Macaca fascicularis: one gene and its partners. The protein of the gene in region 1 interacts with the protein of each later gene in a pairwise test. Links are inferred from orthologs where the notes say so. Each region holds a gene or a part of one and is shown in the gene's direction. Other genes may lie near its edges.

The links.
Region 2: the proteins of FATE1 (region 1) and SLC38A1 interact in binary tests that used the Homo sapiens proteins (3 or more experiments, as listed by UniProt). The two-hybrid records come from large-scale screens. The link is inferred for Macaca fascicularis from reciprocal best matches to the Homo sapiens genes FATE1 and SLC38A1.
Region 3: the proteins of FATE1 (region 1) and KCNS2 interact in binary tests that used the Homo sapiens proteins (3 or more experiments, as listed by UniProt). The two-hybrid records come from large-scale screens. The link is inferred for Macaca fascicularis from reciprocal best matches to the Homo sapiens genes FATE1 and KCNS2.
Region 4: the proteins of FATE1 (region 1) and CD79A interact in binary tests that used the Homo sapiens proteins (3 or more experiments, as listed by UniProt). The two-hybrid records come from large-scale screens. The link is inferred for Macaca fascicularis from reciprocal best matches to the Homo sapiens genes FATE1 and CD79A.
Region 5: the proteins of FATE1 (region 1) and SMIM14 interact in binary tests that used the Homo sapiens proteins (3 or more experiments, as listed by UniProt). The two-hybrid records come from large-scale screens. The link is inferred for Macaca fascicularis from reciprocal best matches to the Homo sapiens genes FATE1 and SMIM14.
Region 6: the proteins of FATE1 (region 1) and SYNPR interact in binary tests that used the Homo sapiens proteins (3 or more experiments, as listed by UniProt). The link is inferred for Macaca fascicularis from reciprocal best matches to the Homo sapiens genes FATE1 and SYNPR.
Region 7: the proteins of FATE1 (region 1) and SLC7A1 interact in binary tests that used the Homo sapiens proteins (3 or more experiments, as listed by UniProt). The two-hybrid records come from large-scale screens. The link is inferred for Macaca fascicularis from reciprocal best matches to the Homo sapiens genes FATE1 and SLC7A1.

Annotation. Positions count from the first base shown.
Region 1 is NC_088395.1:157,778,749-157,783,010, forward strand, and holds the start of FATE1 (fetal and adult testis-expressed transcript protein), read left to right. Parts: upstream 1-1,403; 5' UTR 1,404-2,373; coding exon 2,374-2,479; intron 2,480-3,521; coding exon 3,522-3,649; intron 3,650-4,262. UniProt on the Homo sapiens protein: Involved in the regulation of endoplasmic reticulum (ER)-mitochondria coupling. Negatively regulates the ER-mitochondria distance and Ca(2+) transfer from ER to mitochondria possibly implicating it in the regulation of apoptosis.
Region 2 is NC_088385.1:52,992,522-52,996,748, reverse strand, and holds the start of SLC38A1 (sodium-coupled neutral amino acid symporter 1), read left to right. Parts: upstream 1-1,386; 5' UTR 1,387-1,907; exon of another isoform or gene 1,908-1,912; intron 1,913-4,227. UniProt on the Homo sapiens protein: Symporter that cotransports short-chain neutral amino acids and sodium ions from the extraccellular to the intracellular side of the cell membrane. The transport is elctrogenic, pH dependent and driven by the Na(+) electrochemical gradient.
Region 3 is NC_088382.1:108,072,119-108,076,291, forward strand, and holds the start of KCNS2 (delayed-rectifier potassium channel regulatory subunit KCNS2), read left to right. Parts: upstream 1-1,337; 5' UTR 1,338-1,345; coding exon of another isoform or gene 1,346-1,351; 5' UTR 1,352-1,387; coding exon 1,388-2,821; 3' UTR 2,822-4,173. Other genes in the region: uncharacterized protein, read left to right, coding at 1-733, 1,346-1,351. UniProt on the Homo sapiens protein: Potassium channel regulatory subunit that modulate the delayed rectifier voltage-gated potassium channel activity of KCNB1 and KCNB2 by altering their kinetics, expression levels, and shifting the half-inactivation potential to more polarized values.
Region 4 is NC_088393.1:48,916,686-48,920,764, forward strand, and holds the start of CD79A (B-cell antigen receptor complex-associated protein alpha chain), read left to right. Parts: upstream 1-1,242; 5' UTR 1,243-1,267; coding exon 1,268-1,346; intron 1,347-1,738; exon of another isoform or gene 1,739-3,463; coding exon 3,464-3,760; intron 3,761-4,004; coding exon 4,005-4,079. UniProt on the Homo sapiens protein: Required in cooperation with CD79B for initiation of the signal transduction cascade activated by binding of antigen to the B-cell antigen receptor complex (BCR) which leads to internalization of the complex, trafficking to late endosomes and antigen presentation.
Region 5 is NC_088379.1:38,849,674-38,853,250, reverse strand, and holds part of SMIM14 (small integral membrane protein 14), read left to right. Parts: intron 1-1,904; coding exon 1,905-2,047; intron 2,048-3,577.
Region 6 is NC_088376.1:126,378,336-126,382,675, forward strand, and holds the start of SYNPR (synaptoporin), read left to right. Parts: upstream 1-1,489; 5' UTR 1,490-1,710; coding exon 1,711-1,728; intron 1,729-1,858; coding exon 1,859-1,924; intron 1,925-4,340. UniProt on the Homo sapiens protein: Intrinsic membrane protein of small synaptic vesicles. Probable vesicular channel protein.
Region 7 is NC_088391.1:9,369,723-9,373,299, reverse strand, and holds part of SLC7A1 (high affinity cationic amino acid transporter 1), read left to right. Parts: intron 1-281; 5' UTR 282-295; coding exon 296-665; intron 666-3,531; coding exon 3,532-3,577. UniProt on the Homo sapiens protein: High-affinity, low capacity permease involved in the transport of the cationic amino acids (arginine, lysine and ornithine) in non-hepatic tissues.

The DNA of each region.
Region 1 (4,262 bases):
GTTGTCTTTGGCACTCAATCCAAGCGGGGAAGGCACGCTAAGGGGGTGAGATGTTGGGGTTTCTGAGTGGCCTTGGGGGTTCAGGGGTTGGGAAGGAATTCTCCCACCCTCTTTGCTTGGCTTTAGGTGGTGGATTCTTATGCCACCAGGGGGCAGTGCCTCCACATGCACCTGGACCCTGTGCTCCTGTGCCCAAGAAGCCCCACCAGGGTCAGTTGATAACTAGACAGAAATCTGGCCTCCATAGCCTGAGGCCCTGTGGCAAGCCAGTGCCTACACTACTGTAGCTTTGCTGACTTCTGAGTGCTCCTCACAATCCAGCCACCCTGTAGGGAGGCTTGTCCATGGTGGAGACTGACACCAAAAGAAGGGAGAAACTTGCTCGAGGTAAAATCTTGAGGTCATAGTGAGATAAGATTGTCAGATAGAATACAGGATATGCAGCTAAATTTCAATGTTAGATCAACCCATGAATCCTTTTTTTAGTGTAAATATGTCCCAAAGGTTAGTGTACAAGAGAGAATACTTACACTACAAATGTAGTATAAGTACAGATGTGTTGTTTATCTGAAATTTAAATGTACTTCGTATCTGTATTTTCATTTGCTCAATCTGGCAACCTTGGCTGGGCTTCCCAGGCTCCTGAATCCCACTAAGCTGAGCACACTCAGTAGTTTCTCTGCTCCCAAGGTGGCCCTCCAGAAAGCTCAAATTTCATCGCAGCTGCTCCACTAGATCTGGGAAGGGCTTCTTTGGGGCCCCCAGGAATGCAGGCAGGGCCTATATCAGCTCTGCTTCCCAAGAGCTCGGCCCCAGCGCTGGACAGGTGAGGTGGGGGCAGGGGACAGGCAGCCTCAGACCATGCTGCCCTATCTCAGCTAGTTCTGACCCCTTCCTTTGCACTCCCTCTCCTTCCTTCCTTCCTTCCTTCCTTCCTTCCTTCCTTCCTTCCTTCCTTCCTTCCTTCCTTCCTTCCTCTTTTCCTCCTTCCTTCTTTCCTTCCTTCCTTCCTCCCTTCCTCTTTTCCTTCCTTCCTTCCTTCCTTCCTTCCTTCCTTCCTTCCTTCCTTCCTTCCTTCCTCCCTTCCTCTTTTCCTCCTTCCTTCCTCCTCTTTATCCCACCTGACCCAAGGGCTCTGGGGGAAGAAGAGGCTATTTCTAAAAGGAACGTTTTATAAACCTGTCCTGATTCCTTTCACAAATAGCCTCCTATTCCCCCAGGGGCTCTGGGGTTGTTTCCTAGAATGAAGGGTTCACCACAGGTCGTGTAGCAATCAGTGTTTTCCAGAGAAACATAACTGATAGGATGTATATATGTATGTATGTATATATGTATATATCTGCATATGCACAAGTATATATACATTTATTTTAATAAATTGACTTATGCAATTGTGGGGCTGACAAGTCTGAAATGTGCAGGGCAGCCTGGCAGGCTGGCAACTCAAAGAAGAGTTGACACTGCAGTCCTGGGGTAGAATTACCTCTACTTTGGGAAACCTCAGTCTTTGCTCTTCAGGCCTCTCAGTTGATTGTGTGAGACCAACCCACATCATCGAGGATGTGTCTCTACTTTACTTCAAGTCCACTGGTTGTAGATGCCAACCACAGCTACAAAATGCCTCCACAGCAACACCTAGACTAGTGTTTGAAGGAGTCACTGGGGACTAGAACCTGGCCAGGTGACACATAAACCTGACCATCACAGTGGTCTAATCAGTAGGGAAACTGAGGGAGAATTGGGACTTAGAAGGTGCAAGGCCTGAGGCCCCTGGGAGTTCTAGTGGCTGCAGTCAGGTCCCACCTCTCTTACCCTTCTCTCCCTTTGTTCTCATGGCTCCTGCCTAGTCTGACCTACTTCAGAAAAAGGCTACCTCCCATGTCTGGGGACTCTGGATGGGGGAGGTAGGATATGCTCTCCAGAGAATCTCTTCTGAAGGTGTGGTATGGCCTGGATTGCTAGGACCTAACTCTGCTGTAGCCACTGCCTGGCTCTTGGACCCTGTGCCAATCCCTGTTTCTTCATAGAAATGATGGAGGGTAGACCCTACCCTTCCCCCCATGGGCTAAATATGGAGATTCATGAGCCAGAGCAGTTCTCACAGTCAAAGGCATGGAATTGTATCTCTTCTCCTAAGTTGCTTACAGAGTAGCAAGGAGAAGGCCACGGACCTAGCCAACAAGATACAATAGAAACAGAAAGTGCTGAGTCCAAGGCCTCAGCCTAGAGAGGGAGTCTTGCTCCACCCCCAGGTCTGACTATATCTTCCTTGAGCTCCTGTTCCAGGAAGAGGTGATTTTCTGAGTGTGACTCCTCTGTTCCTGGCACCCTGTACATCCTTAGCCATAGCTTACAAGTGAACAGCTGGTTGTGATGGCAGGAGGCCCTCCCAACACCAAGGCAGAGATGGAAATGTCCCTGACAGAAGAATTGAATCATGGACGCCAAGGGCAAAACCAAGAGCACCTGGTGATAGCGGGTGAGGATCCCCTAAAATACCCCTAGGCTACAGCCAACTGTGTAGATACATGTCTGTACCTGTGCATGTGTGTGTTGGGAAAGGTGCATGTGTGCATGGAAGTGTTTGCACATCTGTGTGTTGGGCGGGCTTTGAGGATTTGTGGGTTGATGGTAAGGGATCTAGGAGAAAAGGGATAGATGATGTGAGCATTTTGCCCTGGGAGGGAGGAGGATGGGAACAACATGTGTGGTCCCTCTGTCTTCCCCTTGTCCAAGCCACCACAGTGTCTGTTGCAAAATACTCAGAGGGCTCAAATTATGAGACCAGAGATCAATTCTCTCTCCCAACCCTCGAATTCATTTTCCTGCCATTTGGAGGAAAATCCAGACTCCATGATCTATAAGATTGTATCAGCCTCCTCAAAACATTTCATACTATGATATAGACAGAAAATACCATTTCTATAGCACACAAAGGGATCCAGATCACATTGCATTTATGTTTGTTCTTACAATGCTCCAAGCCTGCTTCTTCCCCAAAGACCTTGCATTTGCTGTTTCCTCTGTCTGGAATGCTCTTTCCCTCAATTTCCCAGGGCTGGGTCCTTTATTTTTTTCAGGTCCCTGCCTCAATTGTTGTCTCCTACTTTTCTAGAAGGAGCCCTTTCCTTCCACTATGTTACCCTGTTTTGATCATTTATGGAGCCTGCATCTCTCTGTCTGCATTTGCAAGGATAGACCTTCTGTTTTACACCTGTCATTCACTCTTATACACAAAACAGATGGTCAGTTCCTTGATAGCTGGAATCTTGTTCTTGGTCATTGCTCTCTAGATTACTGGAGAGTAACCTAGTCTCGAGCTGAGCCCTCAGGATTCTTGTTTAACTTTTGAACAGATGAACAAACTGAGACCTGGGATCAGCTGGTGGACAGTGGTTAATGGGTGCTGAGTGATTCCCAAGAAAGCTGGGGACTCTGTCTTCTTTTTGGTGTGTTTTGTGCCCAAGAAGCCCTGGTACAACTTCTATGGGTGCTCCTGGGGTCTCTGTTCTTCTCTCTAGAAATGATGGAGCATGGATCTCGGTCCCTGGGTGCCTCCCAGAAGAGGCAGAAGTTGGAACAAAAAGCTGCTGGCTCTGCTTCAGCGAAACGAGTTTGGAATATGACTGCCACCCGATCCAAGAAAATGGTACTGCATGGGGTCCTCAGCACATGTTGGCCAGGTTGGGGTTGGGAGTACTGGTTGTAGGGGCTGTAGCCTGACCAGGTCAGGCAGGGCTAGACATTGACTTGTGAGGAGGAGGAAGCTCCTGTATTCCAAGCTGGCAAATGAGGACAGAAAGGTCAGGGTCATCCTTTCCTATGCTTGGGATGCAACCTTGGGAGTTCAGAATGCCTGAAACAAATATTGCATGGGGAGTACATAAATATTTCACTCTGTAAATCCATTGTGTGAAATAACGCTTCCTGTATTTAAAATTGTGTGTGTGGTGCGTGTGTGTGTATACACACAATAACTCAGGTGAGGCTCCTACGCTTTCTGGCTGTTAAGAAATCCAGTCAAGTCGTCTGGCATGGTGGCTCATGCCTGTAATCTGAGCACTCTGGCAGGAAGAGGTGGACGGATCACTTGAGGCCAGGAGTTGGAGAACAGTCTGGCCAGCATGGTGAAACCTTGTCTCTACTAAAAATACAAAAATTAGCTGGGCATGGTGGCACATGCCTGTAATCACAGCTACTCAGGAGGCTGAGGCATGAGAATCGCTTGAACCTAGCAAGCAGAGGTTGCAGTGAGCTGAGAT
Region 2 (4,227 bases), on another chromosome or scaffold:
ACTTTCCATTTCTCAGTATTTCTCAAGAGCATGCCTTCTAAATAGGATTCTCAGGAAGCCGCTATTGAATTAATAAAGGCCATTTACAGCCATTCGAAGGGAATAAGAAGTTTAGTCGGTGATGAGTTACAAATTTGGTTATCATCTCGCTTTTCCAGTGGTGATGAAAAAGCAAAAATCACTCAAATACAATGACTACTGTCTGCTTGAAACGCTCCAGGTAATTTTTGAATTATGATTCACCTTGCCCTTCCTGTTTTGATGAGCCATGAACAGGAGACTGAACCATCCCTGTCAATAAAAAGCTCGCATTTCCACCCTGCAAATTCGCGCTATAATGACAGTGTAATTGGCTGAGGCGCAGGTGGGATTTCCTGTCGCCATTTTAAGACACAACTCTTCTGCAAGGAAGTGCCCAGCCAGTAAAAGGGGGCTGTGTCTGAAACAAAGAGTAAGCGGAGAAAAAAGGGAACCAGGCCCAGTTGCCCCTGTTCCCCTCCATCGCGCTCCCTTGTCCCCAGGACTTGGAGCGCCCCAGCTCAGTTAACCTGGACGCACCAGGTCCTTCGGTCGGAACCACATGGGGTCTCCAGGCCCTCTAAGAGCTGGCCCCCGCCTCTTGCGCCTAGGCCGGTGCTTTCTCGGCGCTCAGCAAATCCTTCTGGTTGCCTCACACCCAGTCCCCAAAGCAGAGCTCCACAGGGCAGATCTCAGGAAGGGCTTGCCAGGTCTGCGGATGCTGGATCCGGAAGAAGGGAGGTGCCTCCCGCTTCAGGATAGGGACAAAGGGTTTCTAAAGGTGCCCGAGCTCCCCGCTCCCCCTGTCGCTTCGTTCCCCTTCCCGCCAACCCGGGCCATCTGCGGGCTGTACCCAGGGCCAACCCTCCGCTCCAAAGCTGCTCGTAGTCCCAGGCGCTCCCCGCTGCTCTCCGGGCTGGGCTCGGACCGGCCACTCCCGCGGCCATCCTCATGCTGCGCCCTTCCCACAATGCAACTCCCTCGCTCCTTCGGCCCCGGCGGGGCTCTGGCGTACCCAAAATGCAGGCCCCAGCGGAACGCACAGCCCTCCTGTCCTCCTCCGGTGCCCCTTTAGCCACCCCACCCCCATCTCTAAGGGCTCTCATTCTCCAGCTGCCGCCGCAGCTGGGTTCCGAACACGCCGCCGGGCCCCGGGAGGGAGAGGGGCAGGTGCCAGGGCGGTGCGCAGCATCCGCTCCCGGTGCCACCTTCAGTGCGGCGGGCACACGCGCGCCCCGCAACCCCTCCCTCACCCTTTCCCCGTTGCTCAATCTCCGCCAGCCGCGGTCGCTGCATCGTCAGAGAGCTGCAAGAGGGAGGCAGCAAGGCGCGGCCGCTAGCAGTGACACCATGTGACCGGCACGGCTCAGTGACACGCAGCTTTGGTTAAAGAGCGGGCGCACAGGAGGGGAGGAGACGGCGCGCGGGACAGGGAGGAATGTCCTGTCCCCCTTAAACCATCACAAGCCATGGTTGCGGAAGGGCCACGCGCCTCCCAGTAGGAGAATGACTCCGATTCGTGACCCTCAGCGCGGGTGCATGTGGATGTAAGTGCGAGGCCGGCGAGCAGAGTGTGAGTGGGGGTTGGTGGTGAGGGGAGATTCTGATGCAATCGGCCCGGAAAGGAGGAGGAGAGACAGGCGAGCGCGGACTGGGGCAGCCACGCCACTCCGCCTGAAGGTCGCCAGGAGCCTCCGCCCTTCACCTTCCTCGGAAATCCGCCAGGCCACGCCAAGCTCCCTGCCCAGCCCTGACTGACGGGAGCCACCTTTTCCCGGCCTCCGCAGCCAGACCTTGACACAAAGGACATCAAACTGCCGAGGGTAAAAACCCCGGAAGGGCGGACACATCCACGTCGCCTTTCGCCACCTTTCCCTTTATCTGCGGAGGTAAGGTGATTATCCGTTCCCTGGGAGGGCTGGGCAAGCGGCGAGGGGATGTTTAGATGTGGGAGGAGGCGGTAACGTAGAAATCATCTCTGCTGGCGTGAAAGCAGAGAGAGCTAGGCTGTGCCGGATGCTTTCGGATGTTGCTTTTAGGAGAGGAAAAGTCCAGGTCTCCTGTGCTTCCCGAACGCATGCGGCAGAGCGAGGAAGCGCCAGGGCCCCCGAGTTCACCTTTGCGTGGGCTGTGGCTTACTTTTTGGTTTGTTTTCCTGTGGCTTTGGTGTGTTTTCCTGTGGCTGTGGCGGAGTGTGGTACCAGATCTGGTTCCATTTTTACGAGGGCCGGGAACCACGCAGGTCTGGAGGGAGAGCGCATCTGACCCGAGGGCGCGACCCTGTTATAGGAGTGTTTGAATCCCCGACCTTTGGGGAAAATTTCCTGTGTCCCCAAGGCCCAGGGGAGATCGTGTGATGTCCTGGGGTGCTGCGTGTGGCCGGCTGGGCAGCCGTGGCGGACCACCAGTAAACCGGGGCACGTTTGCCGTCCTTCCTGGTGCTCTGCCCCTCTGTAACGCGGGGAAGTAGGAGGGCGCGAGGAGAAATTACTAAAGGATGTTTGCAAGTGACTCACTGTCCTTTCCTGCCCTGAAGAGGTTTTTCTAAAATGCAGAGGGTGGCGGGGGACAGGGATAGTGTTTTTTCGAGAGTCGGGATGTGCTGGAGCCAGCGAACAAAAGGCCACCTCTTGCGCGGTCTTGGGCGCTGACTGCTCTCGCTTCCAGTCTTACCTCCTTCCCAACCCCCGACAGCAAGCTCGCGTCCCTAAACATTGCCACAGAGGCCTTTAAATGCGTGGATCGGTGCCGGGAGGAGAGAGCACCTTCGCCCTTGTGCGAGCCCTTTGCCCCCTAAATTACCCACCTCCCGGAGCATGGGGCTCCTCAGTACCGTTGGGATCCGGTAGGTTACCCGGCTGCCTGGGCGCCGATTCCCTGCCAAATCGCCCGCCCGAGGTTTTTGCTGAACTGTAGTCAGTGAAGGCACAAGTGCATATGGCAGCAAAAGGAATTTCGCGGTAACCGCGTCACGCCGCTCCCAGTGCCTTTCACAGGCTGCCTTGGACTGGGGAAGGTGGTGCTACAATTCAGAGTCCTTTGTCTTGCTCTGCGGCGCGGACCCGAGGCTTATACAAACCCTCGTTCTCTGTTAGAAACTAACTGCCGCCAGGATTCGTTTACTTTCTCAGACGAATCCACGGTGATGTATGTAGTAACAGTGAAAAAAGACGCCTCTGCTAGAAAACGGTATTCATTTGCGTTTGGAAGGGGTTTTGACCTCTCTGCAGTGGGTTTTTACATTTTTAAATACAAGGGGGAGGAGGAAAATACATTTATGGTTTGCAGAATGCAGGGCCCAGCGAGGGTGTAATTTGTCACCTTGATAAAAGAAACTGTGCAGCAACTCGTGCTTTTTCTGACGTCAGAAGGACAACGGAAATAAAACCTGAGCTCGGTGCATGGCTGGCCTCGTTGTCAGATACCTCATGCTAGTTTGGTCCTCCCGAAATCTTGCAAAACAGCCAATTCCGGGGTACTGACCTGGTGTGGACCCCCTGGATTTTGGTTCGACCCCAGCCTCAAAATGGCTTTTCTCTTGAGAGTCACTCGAGTTCTCAGTATGTTGCCGCAAGCAATTGGAAACTGGCCTAGTTTGGTTTGAGGTCTTAATCTTGAGATTTATTCGCTTTTTTAAAAAAATGTGGCCAATAAACATTTTCTACAGAGGGTTTACTGTGCGACTGGTAGCAACTAACAAGATTTGTTTCACCTTCTATGAAGCTTCCGTTCTCAGGGGGAAACAGACTATATAAATGTAGGCATATACATTTCGGGTATTCTTAGTGCAATGAAGAAGTAAAACAGGATCATGTGATGGGGGAGGATGCTTGAAATAGAGTGACTCACCGGGAGGGCCAGTGTGAGGGTATAACATTTGTCCTCAGACCCGAATGATGAAAAGGGACCAGCTATTTCTATAATTGAGGGAAGAAGGCCAGCAGAAGGAACAGGAAGAAGGAACAGCAAGTACTTACTGCACTCTTCTTTGACTGTAATATAATTGAACAGAGAGATGAATAGATTTTAAAGGTGTTTTGGATCTTTAAACCTATATGTATGTTGTTTATGTATTTTTTTATGATGCTCCATGAATTAAGGCCGTTTAATGAAAGGAGCACCATGTTTAGGAGTCCTGACATCGGACGGTTGCTACTCTTTTCTTTACTCTGGGTGATGCTTGTGGACAAAAACCGATTTTACTCATTG
Region 3 (4,173 bases), on another chromosome or scaffold:
GGAAACTTTTCTTCAGGTCCCTAAAAGGGGAAACCTGGAGTTCCTCCGGTCCCGCCCTGTCCCCGGACACGCGCAAGCCGCCCTTTATTTCCCAGCCCGGCTCCCGCCAGACCCAGCGGGGAAAGGTCACCGTAGGCAGCCCCCTGCCTGCGCCCTGGGGGTGGTGATAATAACAGCTGTCACCGGGGGATGGGCGGGGGGGAGGGAGGGGTGTCGGCCCCGCGCCGAGCCGGGGGCGCAAGGTGGTCGCGGTGACGCGCCGGGGAAGCGCAGAGAAGCAGCGGCGGCGGCGGCTGCGCCTTCCGAGCCCGGGGCGGCGGCCGAGGCGCGCGGAGCTGTCCGTTCAGCACCACCGCGCCGCGCCCAACGCAGGGCCTGCGCCCGGTCACACCCGCTCTGCTCCCGCCCGGGTTCACGGGGCGCCTGCGGCGCGGGCTCCTGCTTCTCTCGGCGGGTGACGGGCGCGCGGATCCGGAGAAGGGGCTCCGCGAGCGGCGGGACCACGCAGCCACCTGTGAGCCTTCCGCAGCTGCGGGCGGCGGCGGCTTGCCCGGCCCGAGACGGGAGGAGAAGCTCGGCGGCCCCCGCCCGCCGGCCCGCCGGGCGCACACTCGGGCGCACACACTCGCATCCGCGCACGCACCGCCAGCAGGCAGCGGCCACCGCCGCGATGCTCGCCCGCGGGTCGGGGAAGTTTCCCGCCGGCCTCGGCCGCGGGCGCCCGTGTTCCCAGGTAAGCGCTTCCAGAACGCGCAGGGCGAGCCCGGGCAGCCCCGCCGGGTGAGGCGCAGCGCACGCGGCCCTGGGGCATAGCGCCAGGCGGGTGGTGAGACCTGGGCCGGGGACGCGGGGGCTGCAGGCTTGGGAGCTGGACCCAGGGGAGGCCGGGCCGCCCCGCTCTTTCCCCGGCCCGGGTTTCCAGACTCCAGCGCATCCGCCCCAACCTCCCAAAGCTACGCGCCCCCCATGTCGGCCCCGCTCTGCCCGTGCGTATTTCAGCTCTGGTCCCTCCTGTCTGCGGCGAGCGGGCGGGGGCGTCTCCCGGGCCTGCCCATGGACAAGGTCAGCACGCAGCCCCCTGGGCGCTCAGAGCCGCGGGGACGCGACGCTGCACGCGCAAAGCGCCAACCGAGACCCCCGGGGTGGAGCCGTGCTAATAGAAACATACCTACCCCCAGCCTTTCCTGGGAGGGGGCCAGACCCCTCAAACTCTTGCCCCAGCCCAGTGCCCTTCAGCACCCAAGACCCACCTAGGAGGCTTGGGCCCGCCAGAAATGGGTAGGGAGAGGGGGCGATGGGCCGGGGCGCACGGCCCTCTTGCCGATGCTGTTCCCTCCGCTTCCAGGTGTAGCGCCCCCGCGCGGCGCGGGCGGCCGGTGCCTCCAGCATGACCGGCCAGAGCCTGTGGGACGTGTCGGAGGCCAACGTCGAGGACGGGGAGATCCGCATCAACGTGGGCGGCTTCAAGAGGAGGCTGCGCTCGCACACGCTGCTGCGCTTTCCCGAGACGCGCCTGGGCCGCCTGCTGCTCTGCCACTCGCGCGAGGCCATTCTGGAGCTCTGTGATGACTACGACGACGTCCAGCGGGAGTTCTACTTTGACCGCAACCCTGAGCTCTTCCCCTACGTGCTGCATTTCTATCACACCGGCAAGCTTCACGTCATGGCTGAGCTGTGCGTATTCTCCTTCAGCCAGGAGATCGAGTACTGGGGCATCAACGAGTTCTTCATTGACTCCTGCTGCAGCTACAGCTACCATGGTCGCAAAGTGGAGCCCGAGCAGGAGAAGTGGGACGAGCAGAGTGACCAGGAGAGCACCACGTCTTCCTTCGATGAGATCCTTGCCTTCTACAACGACGCCTCCAAGTTCGATGGGCAGCCCCTTGGCAACTTCCGCAGGCAGCTGTGGCTGGCCCTGGACAACCCTGGCTACTCAGTGCTGAGCAGGGTCTTCAGCATCCTGTCCATTCTGGTGGTGATGGGGTCCATCATCACCATGTGCCTCAATAGCCTGCCTGACTTCCAAATCCCTGATAGCCAGGGCAACCCTGGCGAGGACCCTAGGTTCGAAATCGTGGAGCACTTTGGCATCGCCTGGTTCACATTTGAGCTGGTGGCCAGGTTTGCTGTGGCCCCTGACTTCCTTAAGTTCTTCAAGAATGCCCTAAACCTTATTGACCTCATGTCCATCGTCCCCTTTTACATAACTCTAGTGGTGAACCTGGTGGTGGAGAGCACACCTACCTTAGCCAACTTGGGCAGGGTGGCCCAGGTCCTGAGGCTGATGCGGATCTTCCGCATCTTAAAGCTGGCCAGGCACTCCACGGGCCTCCGCTCCCTGGGGGCCACTTTGAAATACAGCTACAAAGAAGTAGGGCTGCTCTTGCTCTACCTCTCCGTCGGAATTTCCATCTTCTCCGTGGTGGCCTACACCATTGAAAAGGAGGAGAACGAGGGCCTGGCCACCATCCCCGCCTGCTGGTGGTGGGCTACTGTCAGTATGACCACAGTAGGGTACGGGGATGTGGTCCCAGGGACCACGGCAGGGAAGCTGACTGCCTCTGCCTGCATCTTGGCAGGCATCCTCGTGGTGGTCCTGCCCATCACCTTGATCTTCAATAAGTTCTCCCACTTTTACCGGCGCCAAAAGCAACTTGAGAGTGCCATGCGCAGCTGTGACTTTGGAGATGGAATGAAGGAGGTCCCTTCAGTCAATTTAAGGGACTATTATGCCCATAAAGTTAAATCCCTCATGGCAAGCCTGACGAACATGAGCAGGAGCTCACCAAGTGAACTCAGTTTAAATGATTCACTACATTAGCTGGGAGGACTTGTCACCCTCCACCCCACATTGCTGAGCTGCCTCTTGTGCCTCTGGCACAGCCAGGCACCTTATGGTTATGGTGTAAGGAGTATGCCCCGCCCCTGAGGGGAGAGATGCATGGGATATGCACCCAGGTTTCTTTTGCAGTATTTAGAATCGTTTTTAGAGGGTGGTGTGTCTGACACCATGCCTTTGCACCTTTCCATGAAATGACACTCACTGGTCTTTGCATCGTGGGCATAAAATGTTCACCTTTTTGCCAGATGAGTACACCCAGAATGCTAATTTTTCTGTTCATCGTGTACGCTATTCTAGTGCTTGTGGCCCAGTACTGTCTATGAGTTGTTGTGCTCCTGTTTCTGAGGTTGTCGTGTGAGTTCTGTACAAAAAGCCCCCACAAGTCTGTCCACTGGAAATGCATCTATGAGGTCAGCAAGGATATCATGAGATTTTTGCTCACAGTCATGTGAAAACAAAATCTCAGCTCTTTATTCATTACTTTCATTTAGTTTTAATACCAAAACAAAGAGAATGCAAAGTTAAGCACACTTGACCAATGCAAGTCTTAAGTTGTTTTTATAAATGATCTGTAGTTCCGTGGCTTGCATGGGTGCACCTATCATCTTTAGAACGATGTACACTGATGTTCATCTCATAAATGTCACTCTTTAGAGAATGTTAGTTAAACATGTAGCGAAGATCGAATTTTTTCTCCAAGGACAGATGCGTTAGGGAGAGGGGCTTCAGCTAAATAGTCGAGACCCTAGGGTGCTTAAAGCCAAGTCAGTGCAGGCTGAGCCCCTTGGTTCATGGTCAAACCTCCGTGTTTGCTAGGGTGACTGTAGAGACATGTATTTCTGGATGAGGTTTCTGATCTAGACCATTTGACCAAACTTTGCTGCGTCTAAGATATTAGCATGTTTTTGAAATATTTATTTTTTAAGATGTTTAGGAGTAAGGTTGTGTTGTCTTCCTCAACTAAAAAGAAGTTTACTGTTGTATCGTCTCCCTGAGGTGAACGTTGTTGAGTTGCTAGCAAGGGCAGTAGCTTACTTTTGTTGCCTGCTCTGAAAGCTCATCAAATGAGAGCCCTTTTATTTCTAAGCAGAATTTACTCAAATAATTTTGCTTCTAAGATATAGTATGTTGTATATATGTTATGTTTTCCCTGGAGTTCCTGCCATGACATGGAAACCTGGTGGTATGGAAGCATGTACTCAAAATATAGATGTGCATGAAGGTGGTGTGGCTTACCCAGGATGGAAATGCTGCAGTTCTTACTTGCATTCCAACTGCCTTTCATTGAGGGTGAGTGGGTAGAGGCCAGGAGAAAGGAAAGAGTTGTAAAA
Region 4 (4,079 bases), on another chromosome or scaffold:
GCCTCAGCCTCCCGAGTAGCTGGGACTACAGGCGCCCGCCACCTCGCCCGGCTAGTTTTTTTTTGTATTTTTTAGTAGAGACGGGGTTTCACTGTGTTAGCCAGGATGGTCTCGATCTCCTGACCTCGTGATCCGCCCGTCTCGGCCTCCCAAAGTGCTGGGATTACAGGCTTGAGCCACCGCGCCCGGCCAATTTTTGTATTTTTAATAGAGATGGGGTTTCACCATGTTGGCCAGGCTGGTCTCAAACTCTTGACTTCAGGTGATTCTCCCACCTCAGCCTCTCAAAGTGACTCTTGCTCCTGCCTGCCTCCGTGAGGCTGTAGACGCCCCTTCTCCTTCGCTGGGCTCCCTACAGCCCCACATTGGCCCAGCTTGGCACAGATACGATTTCTATAGGCATCTTTCCTGGCTCCCCTACCCTCTGCCTCCTCTTCCCTTTCCCTGAGCCCCCTTCCCTCTGCCTGTGCCCTCTCTGCAGCCTCCACATCTCTCCCCACCTCCTGCCACCATACCTGGCCTGAGCGTGAGCCACCATACCTGGCCTGTTTTTTAACAAAGAATTCCAGTAAAGAGCTGATCGTGGCTCTAACTCCTGGAATACCAGAAACACCATCTCATATCACATAATGAGACAGGGAGACATTCTGGTCCTCATCTCACAGATGAAAAATGTCAAGGTTCAAAGGATAAAAGTGCCCACCTAGTCACACGGGCACTCAGCCACAGGTCAGCCTGCCTTATTTATTCTTCATGAGCATTTATAGTGACTAACATTTACTGAGCGCCTACTATGGGCCATTTCTGTGCATGCAACAACCCCTTTTAAGTCCTTGTTTCTAATCAAGAAGCAAGGAAATGGGGTCAGGGAAGGGACAAGGTTTCCCCAAGTCCAGGCAGGGGCAGAGGTCAAGCTCAGAACCATCACCTGCCCACAGCACATGCCCAGGACTCAGGTTCCCTAGGCTTCCTTCCAAAGGCTCAGCAGTGACGAGCCAGCCCTTGAACCAGCCTCTTCCCCCACCCAAGCAGCCACCTCTCAGGGGAATTGTGGCCACCACAGGTGCAGGGAGCAGTTCCTCTCCACTCACAGCCTGAAGCCTACCCGGCAGGGGCTGTCCCCAGGCCCAACAAGTAAAGGGCCCAGCAGCGAGGGCCACTGGAGCCCATCTCCGGGGGGCTGGGCAGGAAGTAGGGTGGGGTTTGGGGTAGGGATCTGGTACCCGGGGACTGCTGCAACTCAAACTAACCAACCCACTAGGAGAAGATGCCTGGGGGTCCAGGAGTCCTCCAAGCTCTGCCTGCCACCATCTTCCTCTTCTTCCTGCTGTCTGCTGCCTACCTGGGTATGTGGCCAAAGGGCAGGAACTGGTGGGAGGTGGGGGAAGATGTGGAGGCTGCAGAGTGGGCACAGGCAGAGGGAAGGGGGCTCAGGGAAAGGGGAAGAGGAGGCAGAGGGTAGGGGAGCCAGGGAAGATGCCTATAGAAATCGTATCTGTGCCAAGCTGGGCCAATGTGGGGCTGGAGGGAGCCCAGTGAAGAAGGGGCGTCCACAGCCTCACGGAGGCAGGCAGGAGCAAGAGTCACCTCCCCCACCTCCTGCTCCCCACAGGCCAAAATAAGGAACTAAAGTTGCTCTTGACTGAGCACGAGGGCTGGGGACAGGAAGGGGACTTGAGGGTAGTAGCATTCAGCGTCTGTCAAGGGGAGAAAAAGCTTTATCTGCCTTAAACCTCAGGTGCCTCTCTGTGTTGGGAGTCCCTTCTGAGCACTGGGGGAACAGATGTCTCATAGATTCCTCCTCACCCGCTCAAGGACAGCTGGCAGGGGCTGTGGCCACGCTAACCCAGGAGTTCAGAGAAGAAGGTTCCCCACCCAAGCGGACACTGGGAGCAAGGATTGGAGCTCACGTCTGAGTCTTAAGCCCATGATGATAAGGGTGCTCGGCCCCTCTCCCCACCTCTTCCTCCTTCTCTCTTCCTCACTTCCCTCCTCCGCCTACCTCCAGAAGAGGGGGCCGGCCATGCGGGAGGCCTGGCTGAGAGCTGGGACTTCCCAGAGGAGCCCAGATTGGACACTGCAGCCAGCCTGAGCAGCCCGGTCTCACTCAGAGACACCCCCAGTCTCCACCCCACTCTGACCCCCTTCGCTCACCAGCAATCCAGCCCGAGGACTGAACTCACCCCTGACCCCTAGGTTGACACATACAACTTACAGAGAATGAGGGCCAGGCACAGGGTCACAGGCCAGGGCAGGCCACAGACTGGCTCCTCAGCCCAGGCAGGGAGAGGCCAGGGAGCCATGAGTTTGAACCCAGTGCCACTCCTGACTGCCTGGTGATGCTGGCAAACCGCCAGCCCTCCCAGGGCCTCAGCCATCCCTCCTGTAAAATGGGGCTAAGGAGATAACCTACTTCTAGGGTTCTGTGAATGATTACACAAGAAAAAGCGCCAGGTGCAGGGCCTGGCTGAGGCTGGGGTGCAAAAATAGACCGGGAAGGCTGCGGGAGGAGGGGATGCCTGCACTGCTTCTGGAAGGAGCTGTCTGGACAGCGGTCCTCCAGTGCCTTGAACAAACATCCAAAATCCAGAGAGTTCACAGGGCCCAGAGCACAAAGTGGGTATGTGGGAGGGGGGCAAGAGATGGTGCTGCAGAGGTGAGAAGGGCCTCCCAGGGGTCTCACCATCCCAAGGAGTCTCATTCTCCTCCTCCAGGATGTCCTCACCCACCCCAACCAGTTCTGTCCTCTCTCCCTCCCCAGGGGCCTCTTCACTTTCCCGCATCCCCCTCTCCCCAGGATGCATCAGCCCCTGTCAGGGGCTGTCCCTCTCCCCCCCCACCCAGGAGAGTTCTCACCCTCCTCCCCTCCCCACCCAGAATAGTCCTCACCCTCCTCCCCCCCCACCCAGGAGAGTCCTCACCCTCCTCCCCCCCCACCCAGGAGAGTCCTCACCCTCCTCCCCTCCCCACCCAGAATAGTCCTCACCCTCCTCCCCCCCCACCCAGGAGAGTCCTCACCCTCTTCCCCTCCCACCCAGGAGAGTACTCACCCTCCTCCCCCCCACCCAGGAGAGTCCTCACCCTCCTCCCCCCCACCCAGGAGAGTCCTCACCCTCCTCCCCTCCCCACCCAGAATAGTCCTCACCCTCCTCCCCCCCCACCCAGGAGAGTCCTCACCCTCTTCCCCTCCCACCCAGGAGAGTACTCACCCTCCTCCCCCCCACCCAGGAGAGTCCTCACCCTCCTCCCCCCCCACCCAGGAGAGTCCTCACCCTCCTCCCCCCCCACCCAGGAGAGTCCTCACCCTTCTCCCCCCCCACCCAGGCATGTCCTCACCCTCCTCCCCTCCTCACCCAGGCATGTCCTCACCCTCTTCCCAGGAGTGCTGGAGCTGCAGGGGCCAGGGCTGGGGGCATGTGTCGCCATCCCTAGTCCCTGACCCACCCACCCTGCCTCTCCACAGGTCCTGGGTGCCAGGCCCTGTGGGTAGATGGGGGCCCAACATCATTGATGGTGAGCCTGGGGGAAGAGGCCCACTTCCAATGCCTGCACAATGGCAGCAACGCCAACGTCACCTGGTGGCGCGTCCTCCATGGCAACTACACGTGGCCCCCTCAGTTCGTGGGCAAGGGCCAGGGCTACAATGGTACGCTGACCATCCAGAACGTGAACAAGAGCCACGGGGGCATATACCTGTGCCGGGTCCAGGAGGGCAATAAGCCACACCAGCAGTCCTGCGGCACCTACCTCCGTGTGCGCCGTGAGTGGCCCAGCCCTGGTCCCTACTCCCACTTTCCCACTGGGGACACTCGGTTTCTCTTTGAAGTGGGGATAGAGCCAGTACTTTCATTGTGGGTTTCAAACTGGCTTGGACAGAGGGACTGAAGTTCTCCTCTGCAGAGTCGGGGCTCTGAGGGGTCTGGGGCCTTGCAGGGGGTGGCGGGTCCAGGAGGCTAGGGAGAACAGGAGGTGCCAGGGCTCTGAGCCACACCACCCCCTTGCAGATCCGCCCCCCAGGCCCTTCCTGGACATGGGGGAGGGCACCAAGAACCGAATCATCACAGCCGAGGGCATCATCC
Region 5 (3,577 bases), on another chromosome or scaffold:
GTAGAGACGGGGTTTCACCGTGTTAGCCAGGATGGTCTTGATCTCCTGACTTCGTGATCCGCCTGTCTCGGCCTCCCAAAGTGCTGGGATTACAGGCTTGAGCCACCGCGCCCGGCCGGATTTTCCTTTTCTTTCCCCTCAGAGATGGGGTTTCACCATATTGCCCAGGCTGGTCTCGAATTCCTGAGCTCAGGCAATATGCCCATCTTGGCTTCCCAAAATGCTGGGATAATAGGCGTGAGTCACCGCATCCGGCCATTTGTATTTCTGAAAATTGAGTTCTCTAATATACTTCAATAAAAAATCTATGTTTCATTTATTAGAAATTTGTTAACCTCATATCAGGCACTGTGCTAGGCACTTGTTATTTCAAATTAAATAAGACATGGCTATGTCAAGGAGCCAGGAAAAACTGATACCTGTATACTTACATACATCCCTGTCTAGCTTTTTCCTCATGATAAATAGAAGACAAAAAATTGATAGAAGATAAAAACTGATTAAATTTTAAAATATCTAGACCTGAATTCAACTTCTTTGTGTGAAAAAGAAGGCCAAAGTCATCTCTTTGGTTGAGACTGTAATTAAAGGGATCTTTTAATGTATATATTATGCAGCCCGGATGTTCCCTTTCTTTTTCATGATGCCTCTGTAATTAAGATGCAGATTTCCCCCCAAAGGAGAGTGTTTTTTCTGTGGTCTTAACTCAGATTCATAGATCTCAGCAAATCTATGGATTCGTGGCTTTGTGGGTCCTTAAACCTTCCACAATTATATGCAAAATTGTGGAATTTGGTATACATGAGTGCTTTTCATATTTATTTTTAATCCAGAATGGATCAAAAAGAACAATCATGAAGGATGTAGGTGCCAGACACAGGGCAGAGGTAGCTAGAAAAGTAGATCTTAGGGAAGTTAGGGCCCCTAGCCTCACTAATCTACAAACATGGCATGGCCAGCTTGCCTTGCAAGGCCTCTGTTGAAGGACCCCATGAATTCTTAAAATAGAGTTCTTAATTTTTATCAAATTCTCAAATGATTCTGTTACCCCAAAATATTAAGAATTAGTGTACTATTAAAAAATTTATTAGAGACTAGTCCAAGCAACATAGTGAGACGTCATCACTACTAAAAATTTAAAAAAAAAAAATTAGGGGTGTGGGGCTGGACACAGTGGCTCACACCTGTAATCCGAGCACTTTGGGAGGCCAAGGCGGGTGGATCACCTAAGGTCAGGAGTTCAAGACCAGCCTGGCCAACATGGTGAACCCCTGTCTCTACTAGAAATACAAAAATTAGCTGGGCGTGGTGGCACATGCCTGTAATCCCAGCTACTCAGGAGACTGAGGCAGAATTGCTTGATCCTGGGAGGTGGAGGTTGCAGTGAGCCAAGATCATCCCACTGTACTCTGGCCTTGGCAACAGAGTGAGACTCCATCTAAAAAAAAAAACAAACAATTGTTAGAAACCAGCCCAGGCAACACAGTGTTTCTCCTAAAAACAAAAATTAAAAATTTGGGGCATGGGGCATGGTGGCACACACCTGTAGTCCCAGCTACTCAGGAGGCTGAGGTGAGAGGATCCCATGAGCATAGAAGTTTAAGGCTGTAGTGGGCTACGATTGAGCCACCGCACTCCAGCCTGTTTGATAGAGCAAGACCCCATCTCAAAAAATGAAAACAACAAAAACTTACTAGGTTTTGGTTTATGACTATTTAACATCATTTACTTTTTAGATGTTCTCACTGGAGGAAAGGGAAATTGAAGGTATAATATGTACTTCTTTAATTTATCAATACAATTTTTATATTAACACAATATTTGAAACTGACATTTAAACATTAGAATTTATTTTTTACTTTTAACAATGTTGTGAGCATGCTACATTTTTTGTTTGTCTTTAGTACCAGGACCCTCTGGTGATAATGGCATCAGTGTTACTATGATCTTAGTGGCCTGGATGGTTATTGCATTGATCTTGTTCTTACTGAGACCTCCGAATCTAAGAGGATCCAACCTACCTGGAAAGCCAACCAGTCCTCATAATGTAAGTATTGCACATTTTAAATGCTTTTTGGGTAAGGGAATGTATGTGACCTGGGGCAGGGAAGGACTTGGTTTTGACTAAAATACCTATATTAGTTAAATTACATTTAACTCATAGAGTATTCTACCTATGTAGTTCTATTAAATCTTGCAATTCCAAGATTTAATTGATGGCTTAATCTTTGTGGAGTTAAATGCAGAAAGAAGCACAGACCAGAAGCCGAAAATTAATTTGAAAATGAATTCCAATTTTTTTGTTGTTGTTGTTCAGACAGGGTCTTGCTCAGCTGCCCAGGCTGGAGTGCATTGGTGCGATCTTAGCTCACTGTAGCCTCTACCTCCCAGGCTCAGGTGATCCTCCCACCTCACCCTTCTGAGTAGCTGGGACCACAGGCATGCACTAGCACACTTGGCTAGTTTTTTGTATTTTTTTTTTGTAGAGATGGGGTTTTGCCAGGTTGCCCAGGCTTGAATTCCAATCTTTACTCGCATGAGAAGCATTATGAAATAATCCATTTCATAATCCACAGCAATATTGCTTAAATCTCAATCCTCCACTACTCAGTTCTGTCCACCTCACAGTTGATCCCTTGCCTCTCATGCTTCTAGCCTCTAAACTCTTAGTAGCTTCAGCTCAAATGTTTGACCCCCTTCTGTCCTAGCTATTCAGTAGAGACACTGAGCCTGTCTGATTTTATTTTCCTCATTTTCCCATCCTATTTCTCTCAAACCCATTTTCCATTTCTGTACCACAACAAATCAACTGAGCTGGCAAAAGGAGAGGTCAGAATCATTCATGTTGATAAATCTTGATAGTCATGATTACAACCATTTTTAGAACCTTCTAAATTAAAACTGTGATAAAGTGACCCAACAGGGAGTTTTCAGTACTATCTTTAATAGAAACTCTGTTGGCCAGGCGCAGTGGCTCACACCTGCAATCCCAGCACTTTGGGAGGCCAAGGCGGGCAGATCGCCTGATCTCAGGTGTTCAAGACCACCCTGGGCAACATGGTAAAACCCCGTCTCTACTAAAATACAAAAAATTAACCGGACATGGTACCCTGGGCAACATGGTGAAACCCCGTCTCTACTAAAATACAAAAAATTAGCCGGACATGGTGGTGTGCGCCTATAGTCCCAGCTACTCAGGAAGCTGAGGCTTGAGAATCGTTTGAGCTCAGGAGGCAGAGGTTGCAGTGAGCCAAGATCACACCACCACACTCCAGCTTGGGCTACAGAGTGAGATTGTGTCTCAAAAAAAAAAAAAGAACCTCTGTTAAAGGATTCCTTTTAATCCTTTTCAGAACCAGTATTTATGTGTGTGTTTTTTTTAACATTGAATTTGAATATTATCTCTTTAAAAATATTTCCATGAGGCTGGGCACGGTGGCTCACGCCTGTAAGCCCAGCACTTTGGGAGGCCGAGATGGGCAGATCACCTGAGTTTAGGAGTTCGAGACTATCCTGGCCAACATGGTGAAACCCTGTTTCTACTAAAAATACGAAAATTAGCTGGGCATGGTGGTGG
Region 6 (4,340 bases), on another chromosome or scaffold:
GCAAATTACTGATTTCTGTATTTCTCATCTACTTCTACATATCAAATACCTGTCCCCCAACACACACACACACACACACACACACACACACACACACACACGAACTCCAAACCTTTTTGGCAAATCTTTGTAGTAAACAGATGGACTATCTGTGTTGCTGGGAGACCACTCATAAATGGAATCCAGTCCAAAGGGAGTGAGAAGGAAGAGGACATATCACTACTTGAGGTAGTAGCTAAGAACTCTCCTCTCTCTCCTCCTTCTCTTCTTCTTCCTCCTCTTCCTCTTCCTTTTTCCCCTTCTTCTTCTTTTCTTTTTCTGATTTAAAAAAAATCAATTCTGACTTCACTACCTGCTCGCTGGGCAACCTTGGGCAGGCCACTTTCCTTCCATGGGCCTCAATTTCCTCATCTCTAAAATGGGAATAATAGTATTATTAACTTATGGGGGTTTGTAAATATTTAATGAAGTAATGTTTGTAAAGCCCTTAGCACAGTTTTCAGCTCATAGAAAGAACTCAGTTGTTCGGTTGTTGTTGTTTTTATTATAATCAGCAAGATTAGCCCACTAAGAGGAAACAACATGAACCACCTTTCACTAAGTTTCAAGAAAACAGTCTAACTTTGGAGGAGAGACCCAGAGTTAAAAGTTTGGTGGGGAAGTTCATTTGGGGGTCAGATCTCAGGCAAAAGATCTCAGCAGAAATAAAATGAGTTTGAAAGGTACCTAAATTTCATTCCCTGTTTAGCCTTTCATGAGATGTTTCACCTTGGCCAGTTCATCCTTGCTAAATCTGTTTTCCACTGGCACATGGTCCCACATTCAAGATTAATTTGTTTCCATCTCTTCTCTCTAGGCAGTTTCCTCTGTCCTGGTCCTCTGCCCTGGCATCCACAGGCCAAGATGGATCCCCTGCCCTGTGCCCATGGCCCCTGTGCTCTGCTCTGCATCACTGTCCAGACCACATTGCAAGTTTTGCTTCCCCTTCTGCTTCCCCTGGGGGAAGTGGCAATGCTTATCCTGTTTTTTTGATGTACTCCAGCACCTAAGCACTGCCTGCCCACAGGAAGGATGCTCTATAAAGGCTCGAAGGAATGAAAGAGTCAACAAATAGTTATTTTTTATTTTTAGGTATTTATCATTATTATTATTTTCCTGTTCGGAAGTCATCAGAACTCACACAGACGTCCCATGTAAGGTGTGGGTGTCTTCCTCCTACCTGGAAACCCCTTCTTCAGGTGGACAGCTGTTTTGCTGATCGTGCCAAGCCCGCTTTCCCAAACCAACAGACCTAAAGTTTCCCCGGAGCCAGAGGGCACCGGGCGCACGGCTGAGCCTGCACCAATGCCTGTGGGCCCTGCCTCGCCCACCTCCTCGCCCTCCCCTCTGGCGCGCCGCTGGCCAATGACAGCCTTCTCCTGGCTGCATGGGTTTCCCCCTCCCCTGTTGTCTCTACCCTGCCCCAGCTCTTCCCTGCCCACCCCTCGCTGACTCGCCTCGCCTCGCCTCCCCGACGCTCTGGGTTCCCGGAGCGCAGAGCCCAGCGTTAGCGAGTGGGCTTCCCGAGGCCCCCTGCCCTCGCCGGGCTGCTCCAAGGTGTCGCTCCTCTGGCTGCTCCCGAAGGGGCTTCTGGCCCTGAGGACGGTGGTGCCAAGCGAACTTCCTTTTTAAAAAGAACTGGTGGATGAGAAGAGCGAGCGAGGGCGAGCTATGGACCCTGTGAGTCAGGTGAGACAGAACTGGGCAGGGCGGCTGGCTGGGAGCGGGGCGGGGGGCGGGGGGTGCCGCGGCTTGGGAGAGGCACCCCCAGCCCCTTCCTCACGCTTTGCTTTCTCTCTCTCGCCTCGTTCCCCCAAAGCTGGCCTCTGCGGGCACCTTCCGGGTGCTGAAGGAGCCCCTTGCCTTCCTGCGAGCCCTGGAATTGGTGAGTAGCAGTGTGTGCGTACAGGGAGGGGCGCCAGGCAGCGAGCCATCAGGTGAGGAGAGGTCGCATGGGGTGCTCCCTGCTCCGTTCTGCTCCAAGCCGGAGAGTCAACCCTCAAGCCGGAGATTTCTATCCTGCCCCCTCCTAAGGTGCCGTTCCAAGGCGGTGGGGACAAGATTGAGGCACTCTGCTTGGAGGCGGGAGTGTGGACGCATTTTTGCAGGCGCTTAGACAAGTGTCGTCTCACCTCACCGCTTGCAGACGAGCAGGGACTGTGGAAAGAAACCTCCCCCTTGGGAGATGGGGGAGGGGGACGCTTGGAGGAGCTGCCGCTGGGCTCTGGCCCCTCACCTGGACCTTCGCGGGGATGAGGGGATGGGTGGAGAGACCCATAGCTGAGCGGAGGAGCCGGGAAGACTTGGCCAAGCTCAGAAAGTTGGTCAGAACTGGGACAGCTCCTCGGCGGGACTGGGATGCTGGAAGCGCGTGTTCAATTGCTCCGCGGGAGCTCCAGGAAGGGAAAGATGCTGCGAAGCTGTCACAGACTGTTATAGACGGCGGCGGGTAGAGAGCAGAACTCCTTTCTTCCCTACTATAGTTTCTTTTCTCTGGCCACTCCCTTAGGGCTTTTCTGATTACACCCAGAAGAGCCCACCAGCCTGTTTGCCATGGCTTTCTTCAGCGACTGGGCTTCAGGAAGTTGTATTCTACTTCTGTGAAACCACCCTGACGCTCCTATTGCAATTTGTGTATGGGCAGAGGAGTGAGGCACAGCAACGGTTACCCACAGGGCCACAGAGCCATGTCAGTGTTGTTGGCTGGATGATGCTTATTCAGAGTGAAATCTGCAGGTCACACGTTTCGTCTTGCTAGGAGCTCCAAAAGGCAAGCAAACCTATCTGAATAGAAAGTTCAAAGCCTGTCATGTAGCATTAATCACAGGCCCTAACACTGACTAGCTGGGAAATTATGTAAGAGCCTGTTCTGTGTTCCCAGATCTTAGCTCTAAGGGCTTGTATCTGGCAGTGGCTACATAACTGTGATGATTGTTTACAAGGATGATCTACAAGATAATTACATTTACCTTGTTTGTAGACTTGAATGAAAATGCATGCGTATATCAATTTTACATACACAAAGACAGCTTTTGGAAGGCTTGAATTAGTGGTTCAGAGCTGGCTATTCTCAAACTGTTTGCCTTACAGTCAAGTTAGATGAGCAAGCAATCCTCACAGTTCTGGAAACTTTCAGTTTGCTTTCTCAGAATTCTGCCCACATTCATTCATTCAGTCATTCAATAAATATTTCCTGTGAAGTAGTGGCTTTTAGGGAAGAAAATAATAGCTTCATTGTCAAGTTATTATCTCTCAAAACCCAGTTCAAAGACCTGACATCATTTTCTGACATAATCTCTTATTGTCTCACACTCTCACTTATCTGAGATACTAGTTTGTGTTCACTCCAATACTGTGGCAACATGATTTTGTGCCATTGCTCCTCACACAGTCTCTACTGGCATATAAAAAGGTGTTTGTTACCTGGATGAACTTGTTCAAATTACAGATTTCTGGACACCAAATCAAAATATTGGGAAGATGGGTGCCCATGAATCTGCATTTTAAATGAGCTCCGTGTATAACTCTTATCCACATTATAATTGGCGAACCACCACTCTAAGCTATACCAGATCCCTCCAAAACTTAAAAGCCTCTTTTACCTCAGTGCCCTGGCTATTTCTATTCACACTGTATGGAATGTCCTCACCTTCCAAGCCTAAAAAAATGTTTGTCTTTTACCTCAACTAAATGTTACCTCCTCAGTGAAGCCTTTTCTCCTCTTTCCTCTATCCCAAACTGAATGATTCACCTCATTCTTTGAACTTCCACTAGATTTTTATTCATTCATAAGAATTTATCACACTGCGAAATACTGTTTTATAGTTCCCCCCTCCTGAGGAGGTGTGTGTGTCTGTGCAGGAGATGTGTATGAGAGAGAAAGAGTGAAATAGAATAAAGGTTTCTAAGGTACTACATTTAAATTATTTGCAGTCCTTCCCCTCTATCTTCTAGGATACTAAGGCTCCAAGGAGGAAGTGCTTTTTGCTTGTACCTCAGTAATTAGACTCTCATTTGTGGAAGAGAACATGAATAATGGACAAAGCAAATTTTAAAAGTCAGATAAGTTAGTTGGTTGAGCTACGTTTTAAAAGAGCTGAGCCAGAGACATGAGGAGAGAGAGAGTACTAGTTGCTGAAAAAGCTAGTAGTGAACAGAGAGAAAGAACATACATTCTGTGTGCACAGAATGGCTTGAGGAGTCACTCTGAGGTATCTTTTTCTGTGGGAGATATTGACAATGAGAGGAAATGTGATTTCTTATAGATGGCGGAACATTTCTTCTGTTTGTCTCTGTTTCCC
Region 7 (3,577 bases), on another chromosome or scaffold:
AGAGTCTCCATTAAGAGGACCTGATACCAATGTGGAAGCTCAGAGACCTCAAAATGAAGTCAGCTGTATCTGTTGGCCTGCTGGGATAATTCTGTATGTGCTGGTGAAACTGGAGAAGGCTGTGTGCTTCTGACAATCAATGGAATTCTACGAATTAAAGCCTTTTAGCAGGAAATGATTATGAAGGACCTGATCACTGTCTGTTTCAATAATGTGATAAGATGAGAGTGATGGAATGAAATGAGGAGCAATCAGGAAACATCTTTGTTCTTTTTCGACAGCTCTGAACAGCAACATGGGGTGCAAAGTCCTGCTCAACATTGGCCAGCAGATGCTACGGCGGAAGGTGGTGGACTGTAGCCGGGAGGAGACGCGGCTGTCTCGCTGCTTGAACACTTTTGACCTGGTGGCCCTCGGGGTGGGCAGCACACTGGGTGCTGGCGTCTATGTCCTGGCTGGAGCTGTGGCCCGTGAGAATGCAGGCCCTGCCATTGTCATCTCCTTCCTGATTGCTGCGCTGGCCTCGGTGCTGGCTGGCCTGTGCTACGGCGAGTTTGGTGCTCGGGTCCCCAAGACGGGCTCAGCTTACCTCTACAGCTATGTCACCGTTGGAGAACTCTGGGCCTTCATCACCGGCTGGAACTTAATCCTCTCCTACATCATCGGTAGGTACCGGGGGTCCGGAGCTTGTGCCCTCTACCACTTTTCTGTTTGTTCCCACCTCTAAAGTGTGGGCGGATGCCCCGTGGGGAGGTCATTCTTGTTAACAAGAGAGGCACAGAATTAAGAGGATGTTTCTGATTCATTTAAAAGTATTTAGTTTCTTTTAGTATGTTTTTTAGTTACTAGAGTAAATGCATCACTGATAGAGAAAAACTGGGAAAATAAAGAAAAGCACAAAGAAGAAAGTAGAAATATCCTGCCTGACAATGTGGAGAAACTAATTCTCTTATTCATTCATTCATTCATTCATTCATTCATTCATTCATTCTTTTAATAAATGTTTATTGAGTACCTGCTCTGTGCTGGGCATTGTGCTAGATACTAGGGATCCCACGAAGGCATAAGACTCTGTTCAGCAGTTTACTGTCTACAGAGAGAACTATTGTTTTAACATTTTTGTGAATTTAAATGTATATTTTTGTACAGTATACCTCTTTATAAAACAACATAGAGTAAACACTTCTCATATCATTAGCTATTTTTCCATGGTAACGTTTCTAATGCTTGCCTACCCTTGTATAGATTTCTATACACAGCGTGTAACGTATTGGATGTCTTTATGGGTTGTTCAGATTGTTTCCATTATGTTGTTGCTGTTGTTATAAACAGTTACTTACTTTATGTTTTTGTGCTTAGCCATGATTCTTTTCCTTAAAACTGTCTAAGGAGCAGAATGGCTCTTGGTGGGTCTGCATGTTTTTAAGGCCTTTGTTGACTGTGATCCTCCACGTAGCCAGGGCCCCCTTACCCTGCAGTGTGGACACTGGACATCGGCCTGTAACACAACCACCCAGGAAATAAAGAAGCAAATGTAGAAAATCTTTCCAGTTTGCCAGGTAAACACGCTTTGCTTCCCTTTATGCTTTTTTGTATTTTGATTACAACTGAAGTTGAACACGTCAACTTAAAAGAAACAAAAACCTAAGTCTCAGAAGAAGCAAAGGGTGCACACGGCCACTCAATGTGCCATTTATTTTTTTTCTCAAATTTTTTGGTAATAGCGAGAAAACAGTAAGACCTGGTCAGCCGAGCCATGTGGGTCCTGCCTTGCTTCTGTGCCAGCTCCCACCAGACCCTACCACACCCGCCCTGCCACGCATGCTGCCTGCTGGGACCGTCCCAGCCCTGGGCTCCCCGCAGCCCTATCTCTGCATGGGGGGCACCACTCCCCCTTCACCAGGACAGCTGGCAGAGGGCACACACTCACGCTCTCTGAACGGCACCTTCGCTTTCTTTCCAGCAGCTGCAGTATCTGCTGAGAGCCAACCTAGCTTAGTCTTCTGGGCTCTAAAATAAAATTCATAATGTTTTCTTTCAATGCCACATCAAAACTTTACAGCCACACATGGTTCTCACAAGCTGAGGTCTCTCACTGGGAATGTAGCTATTGTAAATGGACCGTTATGTTTCCAGAGGATTTACCTGAGCATAAAATATACATTGAGCATGAACTGCTTGCAGCTTCTAGACCAGCAAATGAAAGGCTCTGCCAGAGTGCCATTTGCTTGTGGGAGAACATTTGCATGCATTATGAAAATATATTTGCAGCCTTAGCTGCTGGGAAGGGCAGTTTTTCCAGCAAACATTTTTTTTTTTTTTTTAAAGGCATGATTCAGAAATTGGGAGAGGGTAGGCTGGGAAGAAAGGCTGGGGTAGCCCCTCTCATCGAGCAGGACAGGGTTTGGGAGCCACATTTGCCAAGAGCCAGCCGCTTTGGGGGTGACAGGGAGATGGTGAGACCATGTTTACAGAATTCATAATAGATTGGCTGCTCAGGAGGAAGAAATGTGGTTAAACTTCTGAGTTGTTGGAAAGATACTTACTTATCATAAGACCCAGTAGTGAAATTGAATCTCTGCAGATGACTCTGGCAGTATGCGGTGAATAATTGGGACCATGGTCACCGACAAGGCCCCCTTTGAAAACAAAGGAAAATGCTCTATGAAAATACTGGAATTTTAGTGACATTTCCTGAGAAACACCAATGGAAATGCATTCTGACTCTCTCCAGAATTATATGAGAGGAGAGAACGAGAGTGAAAGACAGCAGCCAACTATTGTTGGCATTTTGGGTGCTGCCCTGTTGGTGTTCTTCAGCGCTGGAGGGTGCAGGCTGAGGGGAGAATGAGGAGAGCTGGGGTCTGTCTGCGGTCCCGCACTCTGGGGATGCCATGGCCTCCGAGTCACGTTCAGGCACAAAGTGGCAGAGGTGGCTGATGCCTACTCTGAGGTGAGCAAGTGGCTTTGTCCCTGAGCTGGGGTTCAGCCCCTTCAAGGACCTCCTAGGACGCCTCTTCTTGCTGGGAGAAGAATTATGGTGCAGGCGCCATCATCTCTGCTGCCAAGAGTTTCCTAGAAAAGGGCTTCCTGACCGGGGTTCCTGCAGACTGCCAGCTGCACCCCGGGAGTGCATTATGAAATCAGTTTTTCATGAGTTGTCGTCAATGTTTACTTTTTCAATGCAACAAAATAGGTAGCATTGCATACTATCAGAGTGCCTCTCAGGTGGTAAGGGTAACAGCTGTTTTGCAAAGTTTTTATTCGGATATGTATATTTGATAGAATACACCTGTGCATATTGGGTGGGATGTGAAATGCATTCCTCTGTGGGCCCTAGAAGCCTTCTCGCACTTAGCACTAGTTGACCGTCACTTCTGGCTCAGCATACGCTGTGGTCTGGCTGCTGCCGCCAGATTCCAGTGCACTGTCAGTGACTCCTGCAATGATGTTATGAACATGGAGCTCCACTACAAGTACCTGGCTAACCGTTGTCCTCATATCCCCTCTGTTGTGTGTGCTTTGGGGCAGGTACTTCAAGCGTAGCGAGGGCCTGGAGCGCCACCTTCGACGAGCT